Regions from separate parts of the Mus musculus genome. Here all the other regions are reported to be linked to region 1. Evidence: microRNA targets listed by miRTarBase, many of them from high-throughput screens and not tested one by one. Region 1 holds a microRNA gene; each other region holds the end of a gene's coding sequence.
What was found. The annotated mature microRNA mmu-miR-3085-3p reads UCUGGCUGCUAUGGCCCCCUC and lies in region 1 at 2,904-2,924, opposite strand. An mRNA with a match to its seed (bases 2 to 7 or 8) in the 3' UTR can be bound and repressed. Matches are read on the target gene's strand: a 7mer-m8 pairs with bases 2 to 8, a 7mer-A1 pairs with bases 2 to 7 and ends in A, and an 8mer does both.

Region 1 (4,077 bases):
AATGAACGAGCACTGATTGGCCCTGTGTTCTCCTGAGCCATTCACAACACAGGCCTGGACTCTTCAAAGCAGAGACTCTGTTTATCCCATCCCCAAATGAGTTCAGCATTTGTAACTGAGTGATGGATGTGTCTTGCTGGGAAGAAGTCTTCTAGGTCTAATATTGCCTGGTTAATGACTTATGGATTGTTGTAAAGTCTGGCACCACAAGAAGTGCAGCCAGGAGTTGAAGGCCTTGGAACAGATTTCATAATAATAATACCGCATTTCATCAGCTAGGTGTTGCGCAGAGCCCTTTCCTGGAGGGAGCCTCGCTGCCGTTGCTCAAGGCTGTTACTACCCCACTCTGCGGATAAGAACCTGAGGCTCAGAGGGGGAGACACTGTACCTTACTTCCGAGTGTGGAGGTGGATTGTCTGGCAGGAAATCTCAGCCTTTGATTTTATAGTCTCTTAGTGAAGAGAAAAATTCAAGTGTAGATGGATAGAAGGAAGGCCACAGGGACCTAGTTCTAGACCTCTAAGAAGTGCTGTGGCATTTGGTGCATGGGAAACCTTTTGTTTGGACTGAGCTACTGTGACTATTCTAATGACAGTGTCCCAGAGCCAACCCCAAATTTTCCCCCTTTCTCTTCTCTGCATCTTCCTGGAACAGCAGAGATGGGTACATCTGGTTTGCCTTCCTCTGTCTGGTTTCTACCTGTTCTCCTGCCATTCAGGAGCAGTCGGGAGCTGGGGTGTGTTTCTCCTTCCACAGAGGGAAGGAAGTCAGCCCTTAGCTTGGAGGGGCATCCAGCCACTCGGAGGGTAGGAGTTTTTGTTGCTGCTCTGGGACTGGCCATGCGAGAGGAGCTACCTTTATGATAATGAGAGGCCTCAGTTGGATTTTCTTCTTCCTCACAAACTGGTGTGGTGGCATGGATGGGCTCTGAGCAGAGCTCCCTAGGAATGGTGGCAGATTCTCCTTGCTCCCCTCCTTGCTAGCTCCTGACCTGCCTCCTTACTCCCAGCTGCCCAGGGGTCTCCTAGAGAGGGTGCCTCTGTCTTGGAGTGCTTCCAGGATCAAGCGTGTGGTTCTTTTTGTCACTTGGTGGGAGGAATCAGTTCCACCCACTTAGTCTTAAAACCGTGGTCGCATGCTTCTGAAACAGTGGAGCTTTCTGGGGAAGGAAGTGGGGAGTCGTACCCTGGCCTGAGGTCTTCAAAAGAGCCAGGGGCAGTGTGACCCCGAGGAGGACCCACGGGGTCGCAGAATCTATGGTTCTCAGTCTCCCTGTCTGCAAAGCATGCGGCAGAACTAGAAGACCTCTCAGGTGCCTTGGCACTAGCTGCTTGGGGAGTCTGTTAGTGCTGATGGAGACTGTCTAGAAAAGTGCCGTGGCTTCCAGCAGCCTCTGCTCTGTGCGGCCCAGCCGACCTCATGCCTACCCAGCTCTATTTACTTTATTTATATCTTTGGCAATGATGCCCCGTGAGCACTATGTTGAACCTGGCATATGCCAGGGCCAGGGAGCTGGCCTCTGCCCCTTGATGGCTATTTGTGGTCCTGCTGTCTCTTTCTCACTTACCTGCAGCATCCCAGGGCAGACAGTGCACACCTCTGGTTGTTCCAGGCACAACTGTTGAGGAGCATGGGAGCTTTGACATCAAATAGAACCTGGCTCCATCATCAATTGTGGTATTTATTAATAATGAGATCTCTGATTTATAGGAGGTGCACTCCATGCCAGACACTGTGGCAAGTTTAATACAATAACTGTGAGGTATCCGTTACTGCTAAAACTCAAGTTTAATAAATGTAAGCTTCATACTCATTTTAGAGACGAGAAACTGAGATTCAAGTATATTTTACCTACTTTAAATCTTAAATACTTTAAATCTTAAATATCTTTTTTTTTTCCTCTAGGGGCTGAGCACTCTGGCCCACCCTACCTAAAGTAACAGTTTGCCTCTACCCAGGTGCTCACAAACTCCCTTAATGTCTCCCCTCTTCCCCCACTCAGGATTTTCTAACACACAAGACTTTTACCGTCATGTTTATACGAGCATGCCTTGCCAAATGTCAACATGGAAGAGATGTTGCCAGTGTTGTTCACCGATAAATATCCAAAGCCACTAGAATAATGTGCAGCACATAGTGGTCTGTATTTGATTATCAGTGACCAGTTGGTTACATAACTCCCTCAGGTGCAAATTACCTGGAAACTGAAAGCACACAGCTTAGGAACCCAAGCTGCAGAGTAGACAGTTTGGGGTCTAAATTACATCGTCAGCCACTTCAGTGAACTCTGACCCTGTGTAGCTTGTTCTTCCCAAGCCTCAGTTTCCTTGGTAATAGAGTAGACCAGTAACATTTGCCTTTCAGGATGGAGTAAGGATTAATGCAGACATCTATGCAGTTTTTGGCATATAGTGGGCATTCCGTAAATGTTAACTTCTCCCCGAGGATGCTCTTGTGTCTTCTTGCTTCTCATTTCTCCTCTGATGGTCTACCCTCTGACTGAACCACTGTTCCACAGTGCTGTGTAAGAGGGCAGAGCTGCTGAGGGCAGAGGACAGTGGGATTATCTGTCCTGTTAACTAGCCCTAGCTGCCTGCCTCCTTCTTCCTCCTTCCAGGATGTTCCTGTTGCCAAGGAAACACAACCTCAGCCCTTGGCAGGTTTCTGACTCCCTGTGGCTTGGCTACTGAGCTTACAAAAGGAATGAGACAGCGGTGACCATGGGCAGAGAGGTAAGGGGAGGGATTTGACTGTCCTCCTGAAGTTGGAGTCTGGAATCTCTGGAACCCTGAGATGATGAAATGATGAAATGTTCTCTGTCTCCATGTTCCTCTAACAGAGGCTGTGTTGGAGTTCTTGCTTGGTCCAGCCTTCTTGGTAGGGATGTGATGCCCAAGCCCTGGGAGGGGGCCATAGCAGCCAGAGTGACTCATATTCAGACTCTTGGCCCTCGGAATGGCACCTTCCCAGAGTTGGGACTGTTGGTGATGGAGGTGACCTGGAGAAAGTGACCAGGCTGGCCTGGTGAGGGCGCTCTCCATGTGGGTGTGGCCTGCTCTTCCTGCAGGCTTTGGTGTGACTCTGGTAGGATTGCTTCAATTCTCAGCTCTCTGGGAACTCTGTTTCTCCCTTCCCACTTAGCCCTTGACTTGGAGAAGGATGAGAGACTGTGGCTTCTGCCCAAACCAGTTGGCTACCTGAATGAAGTGGGTAGGCACGGCAGGGCAGGTAAGCATGCTAGTGGGAGACAGCCAGACTGTCTGGGACGCCACCCCACCTTTGCTTATCCCAGCTGTGTGATCCCGAGGAACCACTTAACCCACCCCTATAATTATAGCCTCTTCCTCTAGGGATTGCTGCAGGGATTAAGCGAGTTGGTTCTTGTAAAGAGTTTATGTCCAACCTAGACACGCTGAGCTCACTCACTGAAAGCCATTATTGTCATTCTGAGGGGGAACATTCCTGGAGGAGACTGCATCAGACAGAGTAAAAGCGATATTATTGTTGTAGTTATTATTACTATTAAAATTGTTAAAGATCGTTTTGAGGGGGTATTCTTGAAAAATGGAACGAAGGATGGGAAGGATCCCACTTCTGCCTTGGCTAGAGTTGATCATGTGTTATTCACCTGCCCTGAAGGTGGCTTTTCCATTTTTTTTTTTTTTTTTTACTTTTTACAACTTGGAGCATAACCTAAAAAAAAGATGTCAGGGACCTAAGTGGGTCTATGGGACAGAAGAAAGATGGGTGTGTGTGCTCCAAAGTGGACAACGAGGGCTCAGAGGCCATGAGCCTCAGGATGAGGAAGTGGAGGAGTTAAGGGGATGGGGACAGTGGCCTCCTAAGCCTTGCTGAAGCTTGCACCCACTCACCCGTGGCTGATAACGCTCAGGAAGTGAAATGAAGGTCTGGAGCCAGGGGCACCCAGCTCCAATATCTGGATGCCTGGTGAGTGGCGGGCAGGTGATGTTGGGTTGGTTCAGAGTCTGCCCATCTTCCATAAAGTTTAACCTGGTATTTTTTTCCTCCAATATAAGCTTCTTGGGTGTAGGAGACTTAACCTTCTCACTGAGGGGA
Region 2 (4,077 bases), not on the chromosome of region 1:
CCACTTGTGCCTGTGTGCCTAATCATCACCGAGCACGTATCGTTGCCTAGAGAATGTTGATGTTTTCATAGGAGATTTTCATCTGTTAGATCTCAGTCATTAAAAGAAGCTAGGCCTGGGAGAGGCTCTGGGTGCCCAAGAAAGTGTCCCAGCACCTTGCAATGCAGTCTGCTCTCTCTTCCATCCCAGCCATTGGTTTCTTCCTCTTGTTTTCCAGGGAGATTCTGGGAACCCCCTTGTCTGCGAATCTGACAACACGTGGACCCAGGTGGGGATCATGAGCTGGGGCATCAACTGCAATGGAGTCCCTGTCCTCTCAGTTTACACAGACATCGCTGAGTACAATGAGTGGGTCAGCTATGTCTTAAGTCAGGCTTCCCGTATGGATCCCATGGGAGTCTTGGTCCTATACCTGTCTCTGGTGTTTCCCTTGGCCCTCCTGGTAGCTCTGTGACCTCCTTAGGCCCTGTCTTCCTGAGAGTTTTGAGTCTCCCACTGTGCCTTTTCTCCATTTTCCCTTTCTGTCTTTCTGCCCTTTCTTCAAATTCCAGTTAGCAGCTATTGCCACAGTAGACTGTGGCAGGGAGATTGGGGGCTGCAAAGTGCTCTGACTGGTGTTCTGGTTACTTGCCTCATGATACACCCACACTTGGTGGACTAACCTGGACTAGAGGGCCAGCTTGCCTGCTAGGTGGAGAACCATGACTCCATGATCTTGGGGACATCTGCCAAGAAGAGATAATATCACCTGGCTCTGTTTACATCACACAGCTTAGTGACCACTGAAAGAGAGGGAGAACAACCGGGTGTGGTGGCACACACCTGTAATCCCAGCTCTCGGGAGGCAGAGGCAGGCGGATTTCTGAGTTTGAGGCCAGTCTAAAAATCTAAAAAGTGAGCTCCAGGACAGCCAGGGCTACACAGAGAAACCCTATCTCAAAAAAGAAAAAAAAAAAAAAAAAAGAAAAGAAAAAGAGAGAAAAGAGAGAGAGATGGAGAACGAGAGGGTTGGAGGAAGGGAACACTGGCAACTCCCTACAGAGGTATGAGGTTGGCACTTAAGTATTTGGGAGCTGGCAGAAATTATCTTGTACCCACTTGGGAATCTGCCAGGGAATGCATAGCCTCTGCCTCATAGGCTTCACAAGAAGGCAGTCCTGCCTGGCCCCCTTCCTCAGTACCTCAGTGGTCACATCCAGGGTCATCCCAAGTTGCGTTGAGGTTCTGGAGAGGGGAGATCTCAAACGTAAACTGAATAAATGTTTGGAGAACGTCCTGTGTGTTGTGAAGCTCTGCTCACCTGGGGTGTTTGGCTTAGAGAACTGGACCCCATTTACCTAGGGAAGTACTCGCAGTTCCTCTTAGAGACAGAAGAGCTGAGTCCTGCTCCCTGTGTGCCTGGGCAGGAACTTTTGCTGGGCTTCACTACTTTTACAGCCAGCCAGGAGCAGCTCAGGGGAGGCAGGAACTGGGGTGGGGGTGGGGGCGGGAGGGCCCGCAGGGATGAAACTGATTCATGAGAAAAAGTCTTTCTTCTGGTTATTAATGTGACTTTATTTTCAAAGGCCGTGTTCCCAAAGTCAGGAGGATTTTAAGAAAGATTCACTACACTGTATGCAGCTCTTCTACCTCACACTGGGTTTTGGTATCCCTGACTGAATACTGATTTGCTCACAGGTCTCCTCCAATCTCCCTCTCCCACTTTCGTCTTTCTGGGGTCTCTGTTTCATCCTCTGTCCTCTATGGCTTTTGTGGGCATTCAGTTCCAACCGTTGCCCAAGGAAGGATGAACCCATCCTCCACCCCCAGTTTTGTTTGTTTGTTTGTTTGTTTTTTGAGATGGGATATCATTATGGGGTCCCTGGCTGTCCTGGAATTAGTGCTGGGATTAAAGGTGTGTGCCTCCACACCCTGCTGTCAGACGCATCTCTGTCATGAACACATACATCACCAAAGATGTTTTTAAAAAAATTATCACTGGACATTGACCTGCTGAGGTAGTGTTTGCCTGTATCTCCATCATCTGAAAGATGGAGGCGAGGACAATCAGTTGTTCCTTTGCTACAGATGGAGTTTGAGGCTAACCTGGGATACAGGAAGTGCTGTGTCAAAACAACAACAAAAACCCAAACCACCTCCACTCTCCAGAAACCGCCAGCTCTTCGTAGACTAACAATTTTAATTTTGCTCACTGTAGCGCGTTATTCTATGTGGACAGGTAGCTCTCCCCCATTTTATAGTCCCACTCTTAGCCTCATGGTCCACCCTTCACCTGTGTGAGCATACGCTGAGAGTTTGTTAAAATCCACATTGCTGCCAGGAGTGATGGGACACATTTGTAATCCTAGCACTTGGGAGGCAGGGGTGGGAGGATTAGCACAAGTTCAAAGCCAGCCAAGACTACACAGAAATGGACCTTGTCTTACGGTTTTATTGCTGTGAAGAGACACTATGACCAAGGCAACTCTTACAAAGGAAAACATTTAATTGGGGCTGGCTTACAGCGTCAGAGGTTTAGTCTGTTACCACCAAGGCGGGAAGCATGGCAGTGGGCAGGCAGGCATGGTGCTATAGGAACGGTGAGTTCTACATCTTGATCCACAGGCAGCTGAAAGAGACTCTAGTTGGCAGGCAGCCAGGAGGATGCTCTGATTCCACCCTGGGCGGAGCTTGAGCACAGGAGACCTCAAAGCCCGCCCACACAGTGATGCATTTCCTCCAACAAGGCCACACCTCCTAAGTGCCACTCTCCATGGTCAAACATTGAAACACCTGAATCTATGGGGGTGAGGGGGGAGGCAAATCTATTCAAACCACCATAGACCCTGTCATAAAAAATTAAACAAACAAACAAACAAACAAACAAATCCATATCATTGGTCTCACTAAGGGAGTTTTCAACTTCAACTCTGGAAGTCTTGGCCAGGGCCTGAGGATGAAGATTTCTAGCAAGTTCCCAGGCGTTGCTGGTCCAGCTGTATGGAGGAGGCCTAACGTTGGGAACCACACAGCGGCAGAAGGCAACCTTCTCTTGCTTGCCTCGATATGCGATTGGCACCGTTTACTTATTCAGATTCATTTAAACGCCAGGCTGGGGGCCTGGAGAGTTGGCTCAGGGATTAAGATCTTCTACAGGGCCCACATTTGATTCACACAAACCCACATGGTGGCTTCTAACTCCAACTCTATTGGATCTGATGCCGCCTTCTGGCTTCTGTGGGCATCAGGCACATACTGTGGTGCACAGACAGTCATACAGATAAAATACTCATACACATAAAAATAAAATGTAAACGAACAGGCTGGGTGATGGGGTCCCCAGAGCTCTGTTGGACACCTGGAATAAACAAAGGAAACAGAGGAATTTTGATGATCGCTTCCCAGTCTCTGCTAGGCTCAGTAAATCCACAAAGATCATCCTTTTGTGACAAGCTCTCTTTATGCCCAAAGCCAGGCAACAAAACAAAACAAAAAGAAACAAACAAAACCAACAACAACAACAAAAACTAGCCAGTATTTGTCAGTGGTAACATCCTGTCATATTGCTGGTCCTTGGAAGAGGACAGCTGCCTTCTTTATTCAGCACCCTGCTCCTATCTTGATTTAGTCTTAGATCCAGTTCAGCTATTACGTTCTCAAAACCGTTTTTCCTAACCATATTGTTATTTGCTTTCTTGGGCTTTCCCGGTCCTTGTTAATAGTGACCGTGAAACTCCTTGTGCAACAGGCTGAGAACAAGGTATACCCTGAGGCTGGATGGGCATCAAGATGCCAATCCCAGCCCAGGGATCTTTGACCAGTTAGGCTCCAGATGCACCGCCAGGATCTTAGAGCACTAGGGGTGCTGTCATAGATCTGGAATCTAAGACCCAGTCCCAGTCAAGGGATCTGAAGTCATATTAAGGACGAGAGTGGGTCCAGATGCCAGAACTCAAAGGACCTGAAGAGGCACGGTCAGGCTCTTGGCGCCAGGTCAGTCATGTGTCGAAGACGCCATCGCGTACTGGGATGTGGGCACGTGACAGCACGCCGCAGCTATCTCTGCTGCCCTTAGGGACAATATTCATGTATGGCTAC
Region 3 (4,077 bases), not on the chromosome of region 1:
GCCTAGAACTCAAGAGATCTACCTGCCTCTGCCTCCCAAGGGCTGGGATTAAAGATGTGTGCCACCACTCTTGGCAACGCTCAGCATTTTTATGAGGGTTCTGAGGGTTTGAACTCAGATTCTCATAGTTCCTAGGCAATAATATCTTTACCAACTGAACTGTTTTCTCCACCCCATGATTGTCTCACCTGCCCAGCCTGCACCTTCCTCCCCATCTTTTCTTCCTTGGTCCCATGAGGTCAGACTCTCCTTTTAAATACAGCATTCTAGGATCCCAGCTCCTTTCCAATGGGATGGGAGCGGCTAGCCTGTGGGCTGTGGGTCCCCTGTTCTCTGTGGAATCTGGACGGTGGTTTCCAGGCCTTGTTCATTGAATCCTCACCTGAAAGTGCCAAGTGGAGGCAAGAGTGACTTCTGGGGGTATTTCCAGCACGGAGGGTTCTGTTTTTGGTGTCTTGGATAATTTAGGCCCTCGAAGCATGTTGATGAGGCGAATCCAGCGGTCAAACAGAAAGGCCAGCTCATGTTCAGGGGCATCCAGTGCCAGGAAATAATGACGGCCGGATCTCAGACGCAGTTTCAGTCGCCAGGTGGGCAGATCATCGACATACAGGCGGGCAAGGTCTAGTGGGATCATCCTGCGGGAGGTGGGAGACAAGGTAGCTAGTGCGATAGGATGGAGTGGAGTGAGCTAGGATGGGGCTCAAGGAACATACCTGGTTAGGATGAGACTGGAGCACTCCTCGTCCTCGGGGGGCCGAGCAATCAACAGAATGTCAGGCAGCATTAGGCCAGGCAAGGATGCTGCGACACCCATAGTCAGCTTGTTGGATTTGTTGTGTAATAACGCAGGAGTCCCATTGTTGGTTACCTGGGGCAGCCAGGGAGCAGGGCTGGGACCAGTTCTTTCTCCAACATTCCTCCAGCATCCCTCACCTGAGAGCCTCCTTTCTTTCCAAACCCATCTTCTACCTACAGGAGTTCAAATTCCAAATCCCTGTTCAACCCACTCTGCCCAGGGGTTCCCTCTCTCTTCCTGTGTCTCAGACTTCCTCCCCCATTTCCAGGGGGCTCAGGGAGCTGGGGACCTGGGTAAAGTTACTCTCGAACATGGGCAGCGGGCGGAGGGGCAGGTATTCGGCCATCTGAAGGGTCTTCTGCATCTCTCCAAGGATGGGAACCCACTTCGGAGGCTCCGGGGGAGGCGGAGGGAAAAAAAAGCGCCACAGCCGCCTCATAACAGCGGGTGCCATAACAGCGGGTGAGGGTGTATAGATTCAAGAATCCTGGACCCAAGTGGAGCCCTGACCCCCACCCCAGCCCACCAGCTTTGGACCCTTGGGCTTCAAGGATGTCAGGCGCTCAGCAGTGACAGAAAGTGGAGTGTCCCCAGGGCCGAGAGACTCTGGTATGGCCATGGCCCTGCAGAGAGGTAGTCAGCACTAGGCCGTGGGTGGAACCTTTGAGAGGGGCTTTGTGACCTCACTAGACCCTAGAGGCTGCTTCCTGGGAACTGCCTAGGGGCCTCACCATTCCAGAATAAGGTGTGGACTCTTTTGAGGGCTGGGATAGGTGACTCAGACCTCTATCAGAACATCTCCATCTCCTGGACCCAAGATTGTGATGACACAGCCCTCCCCCCCCCCCGCTCCCCCCTCCCCGCCCCCCCCAGGGATCTGTGTTAGAACCTCCATAGGGATCATTAACCCAAAGGCTTGAATCACAGGCCTAGTTCTGCCTGTGACCCTCCTCTTTACTCTCAGGAAGACCCAACCCCACATTGAGCCTCAGTTTCCTAATGGCTCGTGTGTGTGTGTGTGTGTGTGTGTGTGTGTGTGTGTGTCCCCACAACTCTCGAATCAACTAAACACTGAACTGTAAAGAAAGGACGACCATAGCTGGGCATGGCCATCACAGCTGTTATCCCAGCACTAGGGATGGGAGGCTGGAAAATCGTGTTTGAAACCATCTTAGGCTATGTAACAATACCTTGTCTCAAAATAATAAATAGAAAAATAAAGCAAAGGGCTTGGAGATGCGGTTGAGTGTTAAAGTGCTTGCTTGGCATGCACAAGGCCCTGGGTTCAGTCCTAGTACCATAATGATATAAGGCCAACTACCTGTATGAGCATAAGAGCAATAAGCTGGGCATGGTGGCACACAGTTTTAATTCCAGCACTCTGGAAGAAGCAGGCAGATCTCTGTGAGGTAAGACTCAAAACCAAGGCAAAATACCCTACAGAAAACAATTCCTCCCCTTGAGCCTCAGTTTCCCTCTCTTTTGTAAAGCAGGGCAACTTTTTCTGAATCTAAGACAACTTCTTAAGGAGATATATGTATATGTGTATATATATATGTGTGTGTGTGTGTGTGTGTGTGTGTGTGTGTGTGTGTGTGTGTATGCTCAGTATGACCCAGGACATGGGCTCAAATAACCATTTTTCTTGGTCCCTTCTGAGTCCTATTTTGAGGTTATACAGCATGTACAGTGGGGTGAGACAGAGACTGGTACAGTGCCATTCTAAAAATAGTGTTTATTAATGTTTATAAATGTGTCCTGCAAAATACAGTCATGGTGAAAACTCTGGAAAATGCAAACACAAACAGTAACAGTCACCCACTGTGCCATTGCTTGTTTTCAGCCCTGAGGCAGCTATCGTCAACATCATGGTGTTTCCATTTTGAAAAACCAAACAGTCCATACTCATGTATAGGGAGAGTAGTTCTACCATCTGCTGCTCCTGGGTCGCAGAGACGTTCAATATCTAAAGCAGTCTTCGCCTGGAACTTGCCTTTTTATGGTTGGCGAGCTAGAACTTCATCATGCGGATGTATCCCTAGCTTTATTCATCCATCCCCTGCCCGCCCCCCAGAAAGCCTAGATTGTTTCCCATTGGTCATCGTGAATTTTGCTGAAACAAAAAACCTTGTACCTTACAGCTCTGTACCATACAGGTGCTATTAGTTATAAGGTGATGCTCTGGAACTTTTTGTTAAGTATCTGTTGAGGACCTTTGAAATGCTAGGGTACCAGTTTAGACTCCGATCCTTTCGGCATACTCCTGCTAATAACCTCTAAATAGATATGTATTTAAATCCTCTCACTTCTCTGACTCACAAAAAAAAACTCACATTTTGGTATAAAACCCCAGGCTTCCTTTTTCCCCCTCCTTCCTCCTCTTTTTTTTTTTTTTTTTTTTTGGTTTTTCGAGACAGGGTTTCTCTGTGTAGCCCTGGCTGTCCTGGAACTCACGAACTCACTCTTAGACCAGGCTGGCCTCGAACTCAGAAATCTGCCTGCCTCTGCCTCCCGAGTGCTGGGATTAAAGGCATGCGCCACCACGCCCGGCTTCCCTCCTTCCTCCTCTTAATATAAAAAGTAATCGTTTAATAAATAATGTAGGAAGTGAGGAAGACACTGTGAACAGATTTCATAGAGACCCCAGAACCCAGGATCTCAGTTCCCTGCTCTTCAGGGTCTCAGATGCACCCACCCACCCCCCAATTGTTTAAATAAATAAGTATAAATAAGCCACAGGTGATCCCCCTCACCCAGGTCTACTGGAAAGACTGTCTAGCTGGGTGTGGGGCGGTTGTTTGGGGTGTGGCATGCCCCTGATCATCATGCCCCCCTCCAAGTACCAAAATAAATAAATAAATAAGATCTGGTTTTAAAGGGCGGTATCGATGGTGGTTTTCAGTCCCGAGTCACAGTCGAGTCTTTAACAACAGCAGGCCCCGCACGGCCCAGTCCAAGGTCAGGTGCAGCCCTCCTAGGATGGCATGAGCTGCCCGGATGCTTCCCCAGGCTGAGGCAGGAGGGCCCAGGGGGATCACAGGTTGGTCTGGGGCTGCCTGGGGCAAGGCCAGGCGAGACATCTGTTGAAGAGAGAAAGAAGGTTAGCTAAAGGCAAGGGTCTGGGGTTTAGAAAACTGAAGCCGTATTGGGTGTTCTCGCCTGTAATCCCAGCACGGAAGGATCAGGATTCAAGGATACATAGGAAAGGCAGTTTGGGGGGCTGGAGAGATGGCTCAGTGGTTAAGAGCACTGACTGCTCTTTCAGAGGTCCTGAGTTC
Region 4 (4,077 bases), not on the chromosome of region 1:
CTCAGTGGGTAAGAGCACCCGACTGCTCTTCCAAAGGTCCGGAGTTCAAATCCCAGCAACCACATGGTGGCTCACAACCATCCATAACAAGATCTGATGCCCTCTTCTGGTGCGTCTGAAGACAGCTACAGTGTACTTACATATAATAAATAAATAAATAAATCTTTAAAAAAAAAATAAAATAAAAAGAAGTGAAATCTTGGCTGATATAAGGTATACAGATATATTTGGAAAGGTCTAGGTAGACGAGTCATTTATTGAAAGAGAGCTGCTGGATGGGTGATATGACTCAGTGGGTGAGAGCCCTTGCTGCCAGACCTGATGCCCTGAGCCCATGCCTTGGAACCCACATGGTAGAAGGAGAGATCCGGCTCCCCAGAGTCGTCCTCTGACTTTCATGTGCATACATACACACATAGACAAAATTAATAAGGAAAAGGAGTGAGCTGTGAGGCCTTCATCTGACAGGCGGAGCTCTGAGATAGAGCAGGACTGAACTGGTTGTCTCCTGGTCTGAAGCTGCAGTCCCTACTCATGGGGCTCAGAGGAACACAGCCCAAACCTGGAACTTCCTGCGTAAGTCCTTTCCATTGCTCTCCCTACCCTGCTCCTTCTCTTCTTCACAGTAGCATTCTTGTCCCTTAGGTTGGCTGTTGTCCAGTGTGTTGCTATTGTCTGGAACTCCTACCTATCCTGGAAGGCACATCAGTTCTAAGCGTGCCTTGTTCCATGGTTTGCACCTTGTACTGATGCACCGTGACCCTGGAATGCTTGGACAGCTTCTTCAAACTAACCACATCAGGACTGGAGCGGTGACTCAGCTGTTAGAAGCACGGATTATCTGCTCTACAGAGGACCTAAATTTGGTTCCAAGCACCCACATCGGGTGGCTCACAACTCCCTATGTCTCAAGCTCCAGGAGATCTGATGTTCTCTTCTGGCCTCTGAAGCACCTGCACAAACATGTATATACCCACGAATAGACACGCATTTGTAATTAAGCACACAATGAAATCTTTAAAAGGAAGGAGTGTGTCAGCTTCCATGCTATGGGGTTGCTGATCAGAATAGGGTGACCACTCTGAAGTGGCACATTTCACTTTAACCACTAAGACATTTATAATATTGCTGTCACTCTGGCCCTTAGCTGATGGGGACACACTATAAGAATTGTGTCCTGGGGGCTGGAGAGATGGCTCAGCCTGTAAGAGCACTGACTGCTCTTCAGAAGCTCCTGAGTTCAAATCCCAGCAACCACATGGTGGCTCACAACCATCTGTAAAGAGATCTGACGCCCTCTTCTGGAGTGTCTGAAGACAGCTACAGTGTACTCATATTTAATTAATTAATTAATAATTAATTAATTAATATAGAATTGTGTCCTGGAAGCCAGGCATGGTGGTACATGCCTTCAATCCCAGCACTTGGGAGGCAGAGGCAGGCAGATTTCTGAGTTCAAGGTCAGCCTAGTCTACAGAGTGAGTTCCAGGACAGCCAGGGCTATACAGAGAAACCCTGTGTCAGGAAAAAAAACAAAAAAACAAAACCAAAAAAAAAAAAATGAAAGTCTGTGTCAGTCTCAACCTAGTGACAATCCTGCCTCAGCTTCTCAGCTTCTCAAATGCTGGATTAGAGAATTGTGTCTTGGGCTACAGATATCGCTCAGTGATTAAGAGCACTGACTGCTCTTCCAGAGGTCCTGAGTTCAAGTCCCAGCAATCACATGGTGGCTCACAACCATCTGTAATGGGGTCTGATGCCCTCTTCTGGTGTGTCTGAAGACAGCTACAGTGTACTCATATACATTAAATAAATAAATCTTTTTTTAAAATCAAACAAGAATTGTGTCTTTAGCAGTTTTGTCACTGTGCACACATAAGGAGTATACTTATGCAGATGGTAACAATCAGTTGCTCAACATGGCCTCTTCGTGCACAAGCATGTGGTGTATTTTTCTGCTGCCAGTCTGACATGGTATACTGTTTTACAGAGAGCTTTTTCATATGTAGAACACTGTCATTAAGATGTATACGCTGTACATAATTGCACAAGATATACTTCCATATTACTGCCAGCTTGGTCTGTTTCCACCAGCATTATTGCAGATTCATGAATAATGCACCAAACTGAGACATAAGAACTAATGCTGCTATGTGGTAGGGATATTTCAGCTCCGCTATGATTATCTGAAGCCACCATTGTGTGTTGCCATCACTGACTAAAAGGTTGCTATGCAGCATGACTGTCTACATTCCCACCACATAGTATATTCCTCACAGATATTTGTAGAATAATATGACCTTGCCAACTTTACACCTATGTCCCAATAGCTAGCACACGTCCCCACTCTGTATAGATACAACTTCCTGTCTAGAGTTGAGACTTGAACTCAGCATTGTGGATGCTAGTCACGTGCTCTAACAACTAAGCAACATCCCTAGACTAGAGTGGCTATCACGCTTAACTTTTCTAGGTCCTAGTGCCTTTCGAGACCCTGTCAGGGACTTTATAGGCACAGAAATAGATACATTATTATCTGGGATCTGCAGTGGCTATGAATAAGACCCTTCAGAAGAGCACAGACCTGTCTGTAACTGGAAAGAAGCAGAGGCTGTTCATTTACAAAGACAGACGCCAATGGTTTCAGAAGTGAGGGACCTGACTACACAAGCTGGTGGCAGAGGAGGAACTTGGGCCAAAGTTTTCTCACTTCTACCTAGTGATTTCTTCGTTTTCGTGTGTGTGTTTGTGTGTGTGTGTGTGTGTGTGTGTGTGTGTGTGTGTGTGTGTGTGTGTGTTCAAAACTGGGTTTCTTTGTGTAGTCTTGGAACCAGCTCAGTAGACCAGTCTGGCCTCAAACTCAGAGATCTGCCTGCCTCTGTCTCCTGGGTGCTATGATTAAAGGAGTGCACCAGCACCACCCCAGCTCCTGACCTAGAAGGTAAAAAGGTATAATAGTACTGTTTCTGTGTTTCCTAGGAAAAAGCTGACTTTGCCAAACTCAGGAGGTACGTTAAGTTCTGAAAGCCAAACACCCTTTTATGCCATTCTGACACCTGTAGATTTTAGTTTGTACTGCTGTACAATGGTCAGTAGAATGGGTCAGACCCACTGTATTGGAGAGCCTTTGGGTGGGACTGTGTTGTCTGAGCCCCTGCCAGCAGAGCATTTCTGATCTCAATTTGAGGACCCAGTAGCCGGCCTAGGGACCGTGTCTAAGCAGCCCAGGCTTCTCCCCAGAACTTCTGTCCAGATTGTGGCTGTGAAGAAGTTCGGAACCACGGACAGCTCCACAGTCCTCCCTCTCTACTTGAGAAGAGAAACAACCCCTGACTATTCCTGCTCTGGAGACATTGGTGGTTCTGTGTCGGGGAAGGACTCTGCATCCGGAAGATCTATCTTTATGGCTCTGCCAGCTTCTCCCTCTACAGCCAGGGTGCTTCCAAAGATAGCTCCAGGGACACAAAGTCAGGATACGCACCCCTCTGGGGGCTCGAAGCTGCTGGACTCAAAGCTGCCGGTGTCATTGTTTCTACAATCAGTTCATGTTCTTCGCTGACGTCAGTCGGAGCTGTCCTGGTGCTATATAAGGCTGGCGGCGGTCCCGGGACAGACCCCGTGCTCCCCAAGGCGTCTTCAGCCCGTCCCCGGGGACAGAGTGGAGCTCCATCTTGCACTGGGCAGACACTCCGATAACCTGTGAGTGGCTTGAAGCAACGATCCAGACTCCCTTACCACCAAGACTCTGCACTCAGCCCACCCACTGTGACCTGCCGGGAGGGAAGGAGGGAGAGAGGGGTGGAACTGGACTGGCACAGCGCCTAGGGCTGGTGGGCAGGATGTGGACACCAGGCAACAGCTGGAGGGTCTCGGCAGGGGCACTGGGCGTGCGCGCCAAGGGGCTCGTGTTACCTGCGGCTGCTCCAAGTGCACCTCACCCTATGCTGCCCCTGTGTGTCCAGGGCAGGCGGCACCATGATACAGAGGGGACGCGCTACGCTCCTGGTGGCGTTGCTGCTCTTGGCACAGCTTCGCCCGGAGAGCAGCCAGTGGAGCCCAGCGGCTGCGGCGGCAACT
Region 5 (4,000 bases), not on the chromosome of region 1:
CCTTGGAGTTTGTTATGAGGGTTAAGTCATGTATTGAACAGTGGCCAACTGTATGGGTATGGATTTTGCTATTTGATTCATGCTAGATTTATTCTAGTTTACCTTATTCTTTCACTGTTTTTATTTGTGACTATTGGTTATACTTGTTCACAGCTTCTCAGACAGAAGTATTCAAGATTGTCTTTTAGTCTGCCTTAAACTCGTAACAAACGTGGTCAGAATCCAGAGGCTTCATTCTGCCCTTTAACTGTCTCAGAGTGTACTCTCTGTGGGTGTGTGTGACTGCACAGCTATATTGCTATTGGTCACAGGTTTGAGGTTCTTTACAAACGTGAAAAAGGAATGAATTATTTTGAAAACCCTATTGGCATGTCATGGCAGGCAAATCAAGGTAGAGGACATAGATAGAAGACTTCTGGGTCCATTCGCCTCTTCTGTATTATGCCTCCCACCATTGTGCTGGGTCTAGGAGGCAGGCCCTTTGGGAGGTGATGGGTTCATGAGGGCTGTCTGCTTTGCTAGAGGTTCCAGAGCCTGCACTCCACCTTCAGCAGTTTGGAGGAGGTGCCTAGTTAGAATCCCCCTGTGGCATTCTGATTCCACTTCAGCCTCCAGAACTGTGAAAAAGACATTTCTGCTGTTTCTACAATACTTTGTCATAGCAACAGCAGCCCCCTAATTGTGTCTCGTCATCATTTCCTCATTAGTGGTTGTGAGAAACTACAGGCAGCCTGAAAGATTCCAGTCTTAGTGGAGGTTACAGTTTATTCTTTAGTAGGGAACATTTTCTGGATGCCCAGAGAATAAGAAAGGATTTAGCCAGTAGTCTGGAGAAGGCTCAGTATGTGTGTAGGGGCTATTTCTCATCTCAGTTGAAATGTAAGAAATTTTAAAATAGATTTATTGTTCAGTTGTATTCATACAAAGGTATTTGAAGGCCTACTATGTGTTGGGAAGAGCCAGGCACTAGAAATAAACAGATAAGTGAGCCCTAAGCTTCTAGTTGTGGTTCTAGTACAGATTGTAGCTGTTACAGGCAATGTTGGTACAATGTAATAAAAGATAAGGCAAAGTACTGTGGGGACAGAGAAGGGAAGATCATTACTTGGGACTCAGGGCAGGCTTTGTGTGCAGTCTCTGAGCTGTTGTACTTGTCTTGTTTTTACAGTTCTGGGGTTAAACTCAGGACCTTGCTCATTCTCTTAACCTGTGTCTTTATAGTATCTTGCAAGCTTACACAAGAATGTATGTAAAAGCATGAAGATGTATACCTGGTGGGGTTAGGATAGGGCAGGTTCATTGTAAGCCAAAGACAGGCCTTGCCAAGTGCTCAGTGAGCATTGAGTCCTCTTGAATGTGATGTCAGAGGTAAGAGGTCCTTCCTCTGAAAATACCTTCCAAGTTTCATTTTAAAATCCATCTTTAACATTTACTCTTTGGGAAACACATTAAAATTCAATCCCAATACATTAGAGACTTGTGTCCTGGGAACAATCCCAGAGCACAGCCACTAACAGAAACAAATGGTACCCAGTACTCTGCTCACCTAGATGGAGTTAGTGCTTGCTCCTTTCTGCCATGTGGTTCAAAAGTTCATTTATTTTGCCTAAGCTGGTAGTTTCAAAGTTAGGGGATTTGCCTCTTGGGGTTCATTCATAGGAGGTTCATTTTGGAGTATGGAGCAAAAAGATAGTGCGTTCATAGTCTCCATGAGCACATGTGTTGAAAGGGAGGGAGGGGAACTGGAGAGATGACTCTGGCTAAGAGCGCTGTTCCTTCTCATCACCCACACTGGACAGATCACAACGACCTGTCATCCGGCTTCAGAGAATCTGATGTCCTCTTTTGGCTTTTGTGACTTTCTGTGGACACTTGTACACAGACCCAGAAAAATGCACACACATGAATAAAAAATAAAATAAAAATTCAAACAACAAACCATCTGACCAAAACACACTACTGTGTATGCCATTATTTTATTCCTTTTGTGTATGTAAATTTCAAACCTGTGTGTGTGTGTGTGTGTGTGTGTGTATGTGTGTATCACAGTGTGTGATGTTTAAGAGTGTGTGCCATTTATATTTAGTACCTGTTTAGAAGCAACTGTACTAGACCTGTGATCAAGTTAGTGAGCAGTGTGTCCTTGTTGGTACTTATATTCAAAGAACAATCCATGTCAAGCCCCCACTCCCTTTTTTTCTGAGACAGTGTTTTTCTGTTAACAGCCCTGGCTGTCCTGGAACTCGATCTATAGATCAGGCTGGCCTTGAACTCAGAAATTCACCTGCCTCTGCCTCCTTAGTGTTAGGATTAAAGGTGTGTGCCAGCATGCCTGGCTCAGGTCACCTTAGTGAGATAGTGAGGCCCTTGTTGTATCCGACCCTCCTTTCAAGCTCACTAGGGCTGCAGTTCTTTGGTACCACACTGACATCTAGAGTCAGTTGTCTGCATTCCTGAGGCATTTCTGATAGGCTTTGGGTTTCCTGTTTATAGTCGTCCTCTGGTCTCTTGTAGTATTGTTTTGTTGGTGGTACAACCCAAGTTGTTTCCTATACCTCAGCTGGAGAATGTTCACTGCCCACTGCTCCGTTACAGTATCAGAAGAAATCACTTTTGTTCCAAGATACTGTTCACAATGAGTTTCTCTTACTCAGAAATTGCTCTTCTCCTTACTCCTTTTGCCCTTCTCACTTGATTCTAATTGTTTCATCATTTTTACAACTCAGGAAAGTATTTATTTCCCCTCAGAACTGAGATCTGTGGTTTAACTTGAAGCCTTCTCTCAGTTAATGCCTATCACACATCTAGTATGTTGGGTAGACTGACAACATAAACATGGTAACAGTTTTTAAAAACTGTTAAGATGAAGTTTTTTCTTCAAAGTGGGGCTTTTTAGACTATTCTTGGAAAATTAGAAAAAAGGTCCTCCAGTTGAGTTTTCTTGAGGTTTTCATATTCTGTAGCTACAATTAGTGACAGCTACTTATGCTCTGCCGTCTGGCGAGGCCGGCTGTTTTCCCACTTGTCCTGTCCTTTTCTTTTGGTGGTCACGGTTGCTTTTGAGACAAGATGATGTGTCTCTGACTTCAGGTTAATCCTATACTCAGGGATGACCTTGAACTTCTGACTCTTTATACTTCACAATGTTGGGAATACAGGCTTGTTTCACTTTGATGAGTTTATGTGGTGCTGGGGATCAAAGCTAGGGCTTTGTGCCTACTAGGCAAGCACTCTGCCAGCTGAGCTATACCCCAGCTCTCTTTGATGTTGTCTTGATTGCTGTATGTCCATTCACATTGCCGTAGATTCTGGAGTTGCACTGTCAGTGGCTTAAGTAAAAAGCAAGCACATCTATGCTCTTCCAGGGTTGGGGAGTGCTTTTCTGTTTTCATCAGTGCCCTCTTGCTCCTGTGAGAGTAAACGAAGCTGTGTGAGGTTATGTTACCAGTGGGATCATCCCATAGCTCCATAGGAGCTACTTTGTAACTGTGAAGTTTTGGTCTTGTGTATACTTGGAATCATTTTTGTGTGTTTTATGTGTGTGCGTGCACACACATGCGTGCTGGAGCATGTATGTGCTTGTGTGTGTGTAATCACTTTTTTTCTGTTTGAATTTCCAGTTTTGTGTAAGCCTCTGCATGCACTCCCACTCTTTGTTTCAGTGTTGTGTGGTCTTTTGACACAGAATATCATGTAGCCCCCTTTGAACTCACTGGGTTGCTCAGGACCACATCTAGCTTTAGACCCTCTGCTTTCACCCAGTAAGTACATGTACCATGCTCATCTTGATTTTGTTTGTTTCTGAAATAGGGCCCAAGCTGGCTAAAGCTGGTAATTCTGCCTTAGCCTCCCAAGTGCTGGGGTGATGATCCTCACGCCTGACCCTTCCAGTTACTGTAAAAGTCTGGTTACCATTCTTCCTTTTTAAAAGTCATTGTCTCACTACATGAGCCTGGCTAGCTTGCAAGTTGCCTCATCTAGATGAGGTTGGCCTCATTTT
Region 6 (4,077 bases), not on the chromosome of region 1:
GTTCCCCTGCTCTGTCTGAGCACTACCTTACAGAAGTTCCACTGGAAACCTTTATGAGGTCCAGAAGCAGCAAGCCAAACTAGGACTCCAGAGTCCTGTCAAGTCTGTCAAGTCCTGTCACTTCTTACTGTGCTCTCTCTCCATAGGGCAGCCGTGCAGAGAGTAGTTGCTGCCATGAACCAGATGGACCAGAAGAAACACGAGAAGTTTGCAAACCAATTTAATTATGCGCTGAAGTAAAAGGGTGTGGGTGTGCTGAATATGCTGTGGTCCCCTTTGGCCGTCAGCTCTTCTCCGTTCGTTAGCTTACTAGGATAGGAAGGAGAATAGACTTAAGTCTGAGTAGAATCAGAGCTTGTTTTTTCTGTATGTAACAATGTAGTGATGCATTAAAATACTCTCCAGGAGGCCAGGGGATATGGTTTAGTGGTGAGGCCAGGGTTTGATTCCCAACCATTTTAACCACACATGTGGTACCTCACCTGTAATCCCAGCACTTGGACATAAACAGGACCTGAATCCTAGGCCAGTATGGATAACAGAGCAAGACTGCTTGAGAAACAAGAACAAAAAGCCAGATGAGGTGACGCACACCTGTAATTTTTACACTTAACAGGCAGGGCAGGAAGATCAATACAAGTTCAAAGCTAACCTAGTTGCCAGGCATGGTAGGCACATCTTTAATCCCAGCACTCAGAAGGCAAGGCAGGTGGATCTCTGAGTTTGAGGCCAGGCTGTTCTACAGAGTGAGTTCCAGGACAGCCAGGGCTACACAGAGAAACCCTGTCTTTAAAACAAACAAACAGCTAAGCTAGTCTAAGTTGTAAATTCTAAGCCAGCCAAACTTACATAAGCAGAGTATGTCTCTGAGGGAAAAAAATATCCCTTCAGGATGACGTACCTGCATTGGAGTTGGATAGGGGCAGGCACTCCATCTGGCCAGCCCTTGGGCAGTAAGTGTGTCCCTAGTGGTGCTATGTACTTTATGATGCCTTCAGCAATCCACCCTTTCATGCATATGCTGTTTAATACACATGTCCAGCTCCTGGCACCACTCTGGACCAGGTGTGTTGAGCCCTAACTCACATACCATGTAGTCACCCAGGTTATGCACAGTGTATAACAAGTGACTCCACTGGCTTCCAGAACTTTAGTGTTCAGACAAACTGCCTGACCACCTCGAAGCCCGCTTTCTCTTTCCATGCCTATGCATTTAGAGTAATTGGGTCTGCGGCTTTTGTTTTTGTTTTGAGATGTGGTCTCTTTATGTAGCTCTGGCAGTCTTAGAGCCCACAGTGTAGACCAGGCTGGTCTCCAACTCAGAGATCCTCCTGCCTCTGCCTCTTCAGTATTGAGATTAAGGGCGTGTACGATGGCTCCTGGCTGAGTATGCCCTTCTGTTCCAGCTTCTTTGCCTTTGAAGTTTCTTCCATGTTGTGATAGCAGTCCTTCAGTCCTGCTTCTTACACACACGGACCTCAGCAGAGGACAAGGGAGGTGGCTCAGCAGGTAAAGCACTTGCATGTAATTATGAGGACTGAGTCCATATAAAAGTCAAGTGGTTATGGTAATCTGCTTGTAATCCTGCCCTTGGTGAGAGGAGACAGGATCTCTGGGGCAAACTCAGTAAGGAGACTAGCCAAAATCAGTGCATTCTGGATTCAGCAAGAGACTCCGCCTCTGTAAATAGAGTGGAGAACAGTGAAGGGAAACACTCAACTACAACCTTTGGCCTATAATATGAAAATTCACATATGCCCATAGACATCTGCCCACACATAGGTAAACACACACACACACAAAATCACAGTGAATGGAGTCATATTTTGTCATTGCCACACCCACCCTCTCATTTGAGACATGGTCTCTCTTTGGAACCCTGACTGTCCGGTAACTCATTTTGTAGATCACGCTGGCCTCCAATTCAGAGATCCTCCTGCTTCTGCCTCCCAAGCCCCGGGACTAAAGGCGCCACCATGGCCTGTCTCCATGGATTTGTTATTGATGTTTGGTCTGTTCCTACCTTAGGGCTACCGTGAATATCTGTGCTTTTTTGTGTGTGGACAACTGTTTCTGTACATCACCGATGCGTATAGTAACCTCCTTGTGAGGGGCTAAGCTGTTGGATGGTGGCTGCACCATTTACACTCACTCTGCTCTGCTTCCTGAGGGCTTCATGCCATCACTGGTGTCTTTGTTTCTTTTGCTTTTCTGAGAATTCTATACAAGAGGACTGTGCTCACATCATTTCCACCTCTCCTGCCTTCTCCAGGTTCTCCCATGCCCTTTTTTCAAATTCATGATCTCTTCTTTGTCATCACATATGAAGACAGTTGCTGTTATCTTTAGCAGTCATTCTCACCGTCATGTTCTGGGAGGCAGCTAAGGGCAACAACATTCACCTATGTCATTTTGATAGTCTCTTAACTCCCTGGCCACAACTTAGGAGATTTCCTGTTCGTATACATGGACTTTTGTTAAATAGTGTCTACTTAAGGATTTTTTTAAAATCACATGATTATCTCAATAGATGCAGAAAACACCTTTGACAAAATCCAATATAATAAAATAATAAAAGTCCTAGAGAGACTAGGAACAGGGAACATGTAAAGGAAACCCATCAAAACAACAGCTGATTCCCAGTGGAAGTTGTAAAAGGCAGAAGAGTCTGGACCAGGGTACTTCAAGGTCTAAAAGACCATGGATACCAACTTACAGTACTGTACCCAGCATAACTTCCTGCCATAGTTGAAGGAAAGAGGAAAATGCTCTGTGGTATAAACACGCCAAAAGAATTCATGCCCACCAAACTGGTCCTAGAGAGGATACCAAAAGCAATTCTTTAGACTGAAGAGAGGAAAAAGGACAAGGAAGACAAGTGAAGCTGTAATTGCTGAAGCACAAAAGAGGATGAATGCAAAGAGCAAACCAGGAGCCAGCACACACCTTAAACCAGAACCAGGAGCCAGCACACACCTTAAACCAGAACCAGGAGCCAGCACACACCTTTAACCAGAACAAGGTTTTAATAATATCCTTAGCTCCCCAGTCAAGAAACACTGGTTTGTTGAATGGATTGAGAACAAAGATTTAAAGATCGGGGCCACCTTAAAGCACAAGGATAGAAAAAAGTATCCCAAGCAAGTGCAAAGAGGAAGGAAGCAGGTGTCACTCACTACCTTTTTTTTTTTTTTTTTTTTTTTTGAGACTGTGTCTTCCTACTCAGTCCTAGCCTGCTATATAAACCAGGTGGGCCTTGAACTCACAAAGATCTGCCTGCTTCTTCCTTCCAAATGGTGGAATTAAGGACAAGGAGTCTTTGTTTTAATCAAGAGAACAATTGACCATGAATACATTACAGTTCTGTATGCACCAAGCTCTAGAACACCCAATTTCATAAGAAACATGCCACTGAACTTAAAGACACAGATTACTCCAGTTCCGTATTAGTGGGTGATTTCTGTACCCCACTTTATCCAGAATACAGGCCATCTGAACAGCAACAACAAAAAAGAATAGAGATATCAGATTTAAGTGATGTCATACAGCAAATGGAGCTAACAAATATGTACAAAATGTTTGACCCAAACACTAAAGAATATACATTCTACACAGCAGGCCAAATACCCAAAATAGATCATATTGGCCAGGAGGTGGTAGTCCATACCTTTAATTCAAGCACTCAGGAGACAGGGGCAAGCAAATCTTGAGTTTGAGATCAGAGTGGTCTACAGAATGGGTTCTAAGATAGCCAAGGATACCCAGAAAAACCCTGTCTCAAAAAATGAAAATAATAAACTAGATCACATAATTTGACACAAAACATATCTTAAGTTCAGAAAATTGAAAAATTTTAATATATTTTATCAAGCCACAATGCAATAAAGCTTCAAATCAATAGCAAACAAATTCCTGGTAATTATATAAATTCATGAAGATTGAACAACACATTACTAAATAGTGAATGGGTCAAAAAAGAATCAAGAAAAAATGTTTTAATCCTGAAGTCAAATACAACTAAAAACAACAAAACCTCTGGATACATAGAATGGCAACCTATGAGGCACTAACTACCTT
Region 7 (4,077 bases), not on the chromosome of region 1:
TGAAAAGTTCTCTGTATAGGTTAGTATCATTCTGAACTTCCTGATTCCCCAGTGTTTTATTTATGCATTTGAAAACACAGACTTTGCACGTGCATGGAACTAGATCATATGGGAGCTTTTGTTTTGGTGTACAATAATAATCCTAAGAAATGTTACACCGGACAGTGGTAGCGCACGCCTTTAATCCCAGCACTTGGGAGGTAGAGGCAGGTGGATTTTTGAGTTCGAGGCCAGTCTGGTCTACAGAGTGAGTTCCAGGACAGCCAGAGCTACACAGAGAAACCCTGTCTCTAAAAACCAAAAAAATAAAATAAAATAAAGAAAAGAAAAGAAATGTTATGAACTTTCTGTTGGCGCCTCATCCTTCTTACATTACCTTTATGTAGTAGTAAAACATCCTCACCTGCATGGATTTTATTAGTGGCATTCTCGGAAATGTACTTTCTGACTTCTGTAGCTGTTTATTAAATCATTTTTTCCAAACAGGAAATGATGGATGTCAAGCACTTCATTGATAAGCTCCTACCTCCAATTGATTGACATCACTAAGAGGCCTTGAGTAGAAGTTCACCAGCATCACAGTAGTAGAGTATAAACCTCTTCCCATGACTGACCATAGAACTTCTAATGTGTGCAGTGTTAAAATGTTTTGCAAATACATACCAATGATACAGACTAAATGATGTTACCCTCATGGGAAATATATGATCCTTTTAAGTGTCTATGCATATATTTGTATTATACAATTCAGAATATACTAAGTATTACAGTAGGTAAGTGAAGCAACTAGATTCTTTGTCTCAAATTCAGCAAAATAAGATAACAAACAGTTTTATTACATCATTTGAAAATTACTAGTATGTTCTGTGAAGATGTGTTCAGGTAAGATGTAAGTGACTTCTTAGTTCTGTGAGTTAGACTATAGTTTTACTCCACAATTGTTCAGTCTCCATGCAGTGTCTGTATTTTTCTGTTTGTATTCACATAGATGATACTATAATAGCTAAGAATCAGATGGTATTACATTATCCCTAATAATGGGGATAATGCTTTTGAGTGTCAAAAAGTAATACTGCATTCTTCAATTAATGGCCCTTCTATTGGGAGACCAGGCTTTTTTTCCCTTCTATGTAATTTTTCTCAAGAAAAAACAAGGTTCTTTTTTGATTTTCCGTAGAAAACTAATATTGCCTCTCTGTCATATATTTTATTTTGACATTTTGAGATACAGACATAGCCGGGCGTGGTGGTGCATGCCTTTAATCCCAGCACTCGGGAGGCAGAGGCAGGCGGATCTCTGTCAATAGCCTGGTCCACAGAGTGAGTTCCAGGACAGCCAGGGCTACACAGAGAAACCCTGTCTCGGAAACAAACAAACAAACAAACCGAAACACAGACATACAGTATTTCCAACCTAGGTAATATGAAAAGAAATCAAACATTACTTAAGTTTATATATTTCAAATAACTGCACCTTAGTCCAACTTTAGACTGTAGAGTTATAGACTCTCCAGTCCTGGTAATAAATCTGTGGTTTTATTTTTCTGTAAAACACTTAAAGGGGAAGTAATATCTTGGCATATTTAGAAATACTTGTGACTGGCTTCAAAATATAATTTCTTAAATATCTTATAGCCGATTTTAAGTTTACATTTTCTGTACATGTTATGCTTAAAACCAAATACTGTTCAAGATGAGCAATCAGACTTATGTTTTATTTTTATCTGGGTAACATATTATTTTGAAATTTTCATCTTAAGTAAAGGAGCTTTTGATAATCAGTCTCCTGTACAAATATTAAAATAATAATTTGATTTTAAATCATCAGCATGTTCAAAATACTGGTGAAAATTATTTAATATAAGGACTGGTTAGAACATTATATATATATCCCATATTTATAACTGTTACCACACAGTTGAATATGTTGCAAAAATTATGGTTATTTCTGAACGGTTGCTTTTCTTGCTGTTTTCCAACCAACCAAGAAGCACCTTTATAAACAGGTGCTAATTGATATGAAGATCATTTTGGTATGTCCTAGATAGAATGAAGCCAAATGTCTGGATTTAAAACAATTTCAAACAATCATTTACTATTTTGCTTTACTTTAAAGAACATAAATTTACTTCAGTTATTCTATCTGTAAAGATTTATTTGGTATAAGAAATATTCCATTGACTGTGTGCTGTAATGTGGGAAAATGTCATGTTTTTCACAGTTTCTATCAATGTGAAATAAAATTTAATTTTGGCTTTATCGATTGCTTTATATAGTACTGTTTCTTTTTTCTTTTCTTTTTTATAGATAGGATCTGTACTGGCTAGTTTTGTGTCAACTTGATACACCTGGGGTTATCACAGAGAAAGGAGCTTCAGTTGAGGAAATGCCTCCATGAGATCCAGCTGTAAGGCATTTTCTCAATTAGTGATCAAGGGGGAAAGGCCCCTTGTGGGTGGGACCATATCTGGGCTGGTAATCTTGGTTCTATAAGAGAGCAGGCTGAGCAAGCCAGGGGAAGCAAGCCAGTAAAGAACATCCCTCCATGGCCTCTGCATTAGCTCCTGCTCCCTGACCTGCTTGAGTTCCAGTCCTGACTTCCTTGGTGATAAACAGCAGTGTGGAAGTGTAAGCTTAATAAACCCTTTCCTCCCCAACTTGCTTCCTGGTCATGATGCTTGTGCAGGAATAGAAACCCTGATTAAGACAGGATCTTACTGCATGCCCCTGCTGGCCTGGAACTTGCCTAAGTTACCTCTTCTAAGTTGCCTTGGGCATGGTGATGTATCACAGCAACAGAGAAGTAACTAATCATGCTGGCCCACAACTCACAGGCTTGCCTGCCTTTGTCTCCCAAGTGCTGATATTATAGATGGGTGTTTCCATGGCCTGATGTTTTTCCAAGTTTTGTTTTTTTTTTGTTTTGTTTTGTTTTTTTTTGAGGCAAAGTCTTCCTTATAGCTAGCCCAATCTTGCCTTGAAAGCCTCAATCCTCCTGCCTCTTCCTCCCTAGTCCTGAAATAATAGTTGTATACCAGCACAGCCAGTGTCAAGTCGTAACATTTGGGCTTACTTTGGAATGATCTTCTATATTGAAAGAAGGATATAATAATACAATCATGAGAAAATGCATTGGGAGAGAAAATTTGGTGTGATATGATTACCTTGGAATGGAACTAGCCATGAGAAGAAAAAAGTATTTTAACTTAATTTTAATCTGCTAAAAAATTCATAACCTATTTAAAAATTCTTAAACTATTGAGAAACTTTATTGGGTGTTTTCATCTTTAATGTAGTTATCACTAGGAATTTTAAATAACTACCATATGTCAGTTATCCAAATATTTTTTCTCTTACATATTTTATTAAGTTCTAACTTTTACCACTACAGGGGTTTATTCTTTTGTGTCAAAAAGTGTTTCTGGCCGGGCATGGTGGCGCACGCCTTTAATCCCAGCACTCGGGAGGCAGGGGAAGGCGGATTTCTGACTTTGAGGCCAGCCTGGTCTACATAGTGAGTTCCAGGACAGCCAGGGCTACACAGAGAAACCCTGCCTCGAAAAACCAAAAAAAAAAAAAAAAATGTGTTTCTGTTTCTGGTTTTAAATACTTGAAGTTGACAGCTTACCCTTTTGTGATTCTGCCTGTCTGGTTTTGATATAGGTAGGAGACTTTGTGATGGTTTGAAGAAGAACTGTCCCCCAGAGGTTCCATCCCTAGTTGCTGGTGCTATCTGAAGGTTACATCGAGGGGCAGGCTAGCCGCAAGAAGTACATCACTGTGGTCAGGCCATGAGAGTTCACAGCCTTGCTCCACTCCCAGTTTGCTTTCACTGCTTCAAGCTGTGGTTGAGTTGTGACCTCTCAGCTTCCAGCCACCAAGCCCACTGATTGCTTCAATGCCTTCTCAGCAAGATGTGACTCTGTTTGTTTGTTTGTTTGTTTGTTTGTTTGTTTGTTTGAGACAGGGTCTCTCTACATAGCTTGCCTGACCAGGCTAGCCTCAAACTCACAAAGATTAGCCTGCCTCTGCCTCCCAAGTGCTAGGATTACAGATGTGTGCCACTATGCTTCAATA

Region 2: the mRNA of Prss43 is a reported target of mmu-miR-3085-3p. Seed matches in the 3' UTR shown: 7mer-m8 at 908-914.
Region 3: the mRNA of Il11 is a reported target of mmu-miR-3085-3p. Seed matches in the 3' UTR shown: 7mer-m8 at 3,234-3,240.
Region 4: miRTarBase lists Mpv17 as a target of mmu-miR-3085-3p. Seed matches in the 3' UTR shown: 7mer-m8 at 1,492-1,498.
Region 5: miRTarBase lists Igsf6 as a target of mmu-miR-3085-3p. Seed matches in the 3' UTR shown: 7mer-m8 at 2,228-2,234.
Region 6: the mRNA of Uvssa is a reported target of mmu-miR-3085-3p. Seed matches in the 3' UTR shown: 7mer-A1 at 573-579 and 7mer-m8 at 760-766.
Region 7: the mRNA of Lypla1 is a reported target of mmu-miR-3085-3p. Seed matches in the 3' UTR shown: 7mer-m8 at 1,334-1,340.

Annotation. Positions count from the first base shown.
Region 1 is chr19:42,277,192-42,281,268 of GRCm38, forward strand. Mir3085 (microRNA 3085) reads right to left here and starts at 2,979; the gene lies at 2,891-2,979. Gm34347 (a long non-coding RNA gene) reads left to right here. Exons shown (of 3, transcript XR_386718.4): 1 at 1-2,732.
Region 2 is chr9:110,830,565-110,834,641 of GRCm38, forward strand. It overlaps Prss43 (protease, serine 43), which reads left to right. Exons shown (of 6, transcript NM_199471.1): 6 at 218-943. The coding sequence ends at 454. Prss45 (protease, serine 45) reads left to right here and starts at 4,024. Exons shown (of 6, transcript NM_153172.1): 1 at 4,024-4,077. The coding sequence starts at 4,070.
Region 3 is chr7:4,769,859-4,773,935 of GRCm38, forward strand. It overlaps Il11 (interleukin 11), which reads right to left. Exons shown (of 5, transcript NM_008350.4): 5 at 2,520-3,879. The coding sequence ends at 3,709. Fam71e2 (family with sequence similarity 71, member E2) reads right to left here and starts at 1,412. Exons shown (of 11, transcript NM_172895.3): 1 at 1,089-1,412; 2 at 717-871; 3 at 383-638. The coding sequence starts at 1,253.
Region 4 is chr5:31,138,419-31,142,495 of GRCm38, reverse strand. Mpv17 (MpV17 mitochondrial inner membrane protein) reads left to right here. Exons shown (of 8, transcript NM_008622.6): 8 at 646-1,833. The coding sequence ends at 715. It overlaps Ucn (urocortin), which reads left to right and starts at 3,601. Exons shown (of 2, transcript NM_021290.2): 1 at 3,601-3,699; 2 at 3,963-4,077. The coding sequence starts at 3,976.
Region 5 is chr7:121,062,110-121,066,109 of GRCm38, forward strand. It overlaps Igsf6 (immunoglobulin superfamily, member 6), which reads right to left. Exons shown (of 6, transcript NM_030691.1): 6 at 1,958-3,408. The coding sequence ends at 3,352. All of the region lies in intron 4 of Mettl9 (methyltransferase like 9), which reads left to right. Among named protein-coding and RNA genes, the nearest start is that of Igsf6, 10 kb to the right of the region's middle.
Region 6 is chr5:33,414,652-33,418,728 of GRCm38, forward strand. It overlaps Uvssa (UV stimulated scaffold protein A), which reads left to right. Exons shown (of 14, transcript NM_001081101.2): 14 at 147-4,077. The coding sequence ends at 240. Among named protein-coding and RNA genes, the nearest start is that of Nkx1-1, 17 kb to the right of the region's middle.
Region 7 is chr1:4,844,477-4,848,553 of GRCm38, forward strand. It overlaps Lypla1 (lysophospholipase 1), which reads left to right. Exons shown (of 9, transcript NM_008866.3): 9 at 487-2,259. The coding sequence ends at 540. Among named protein-coding and RNA genes, the nearest start is that of Tcea1, 11 kb to the right of the region's middle.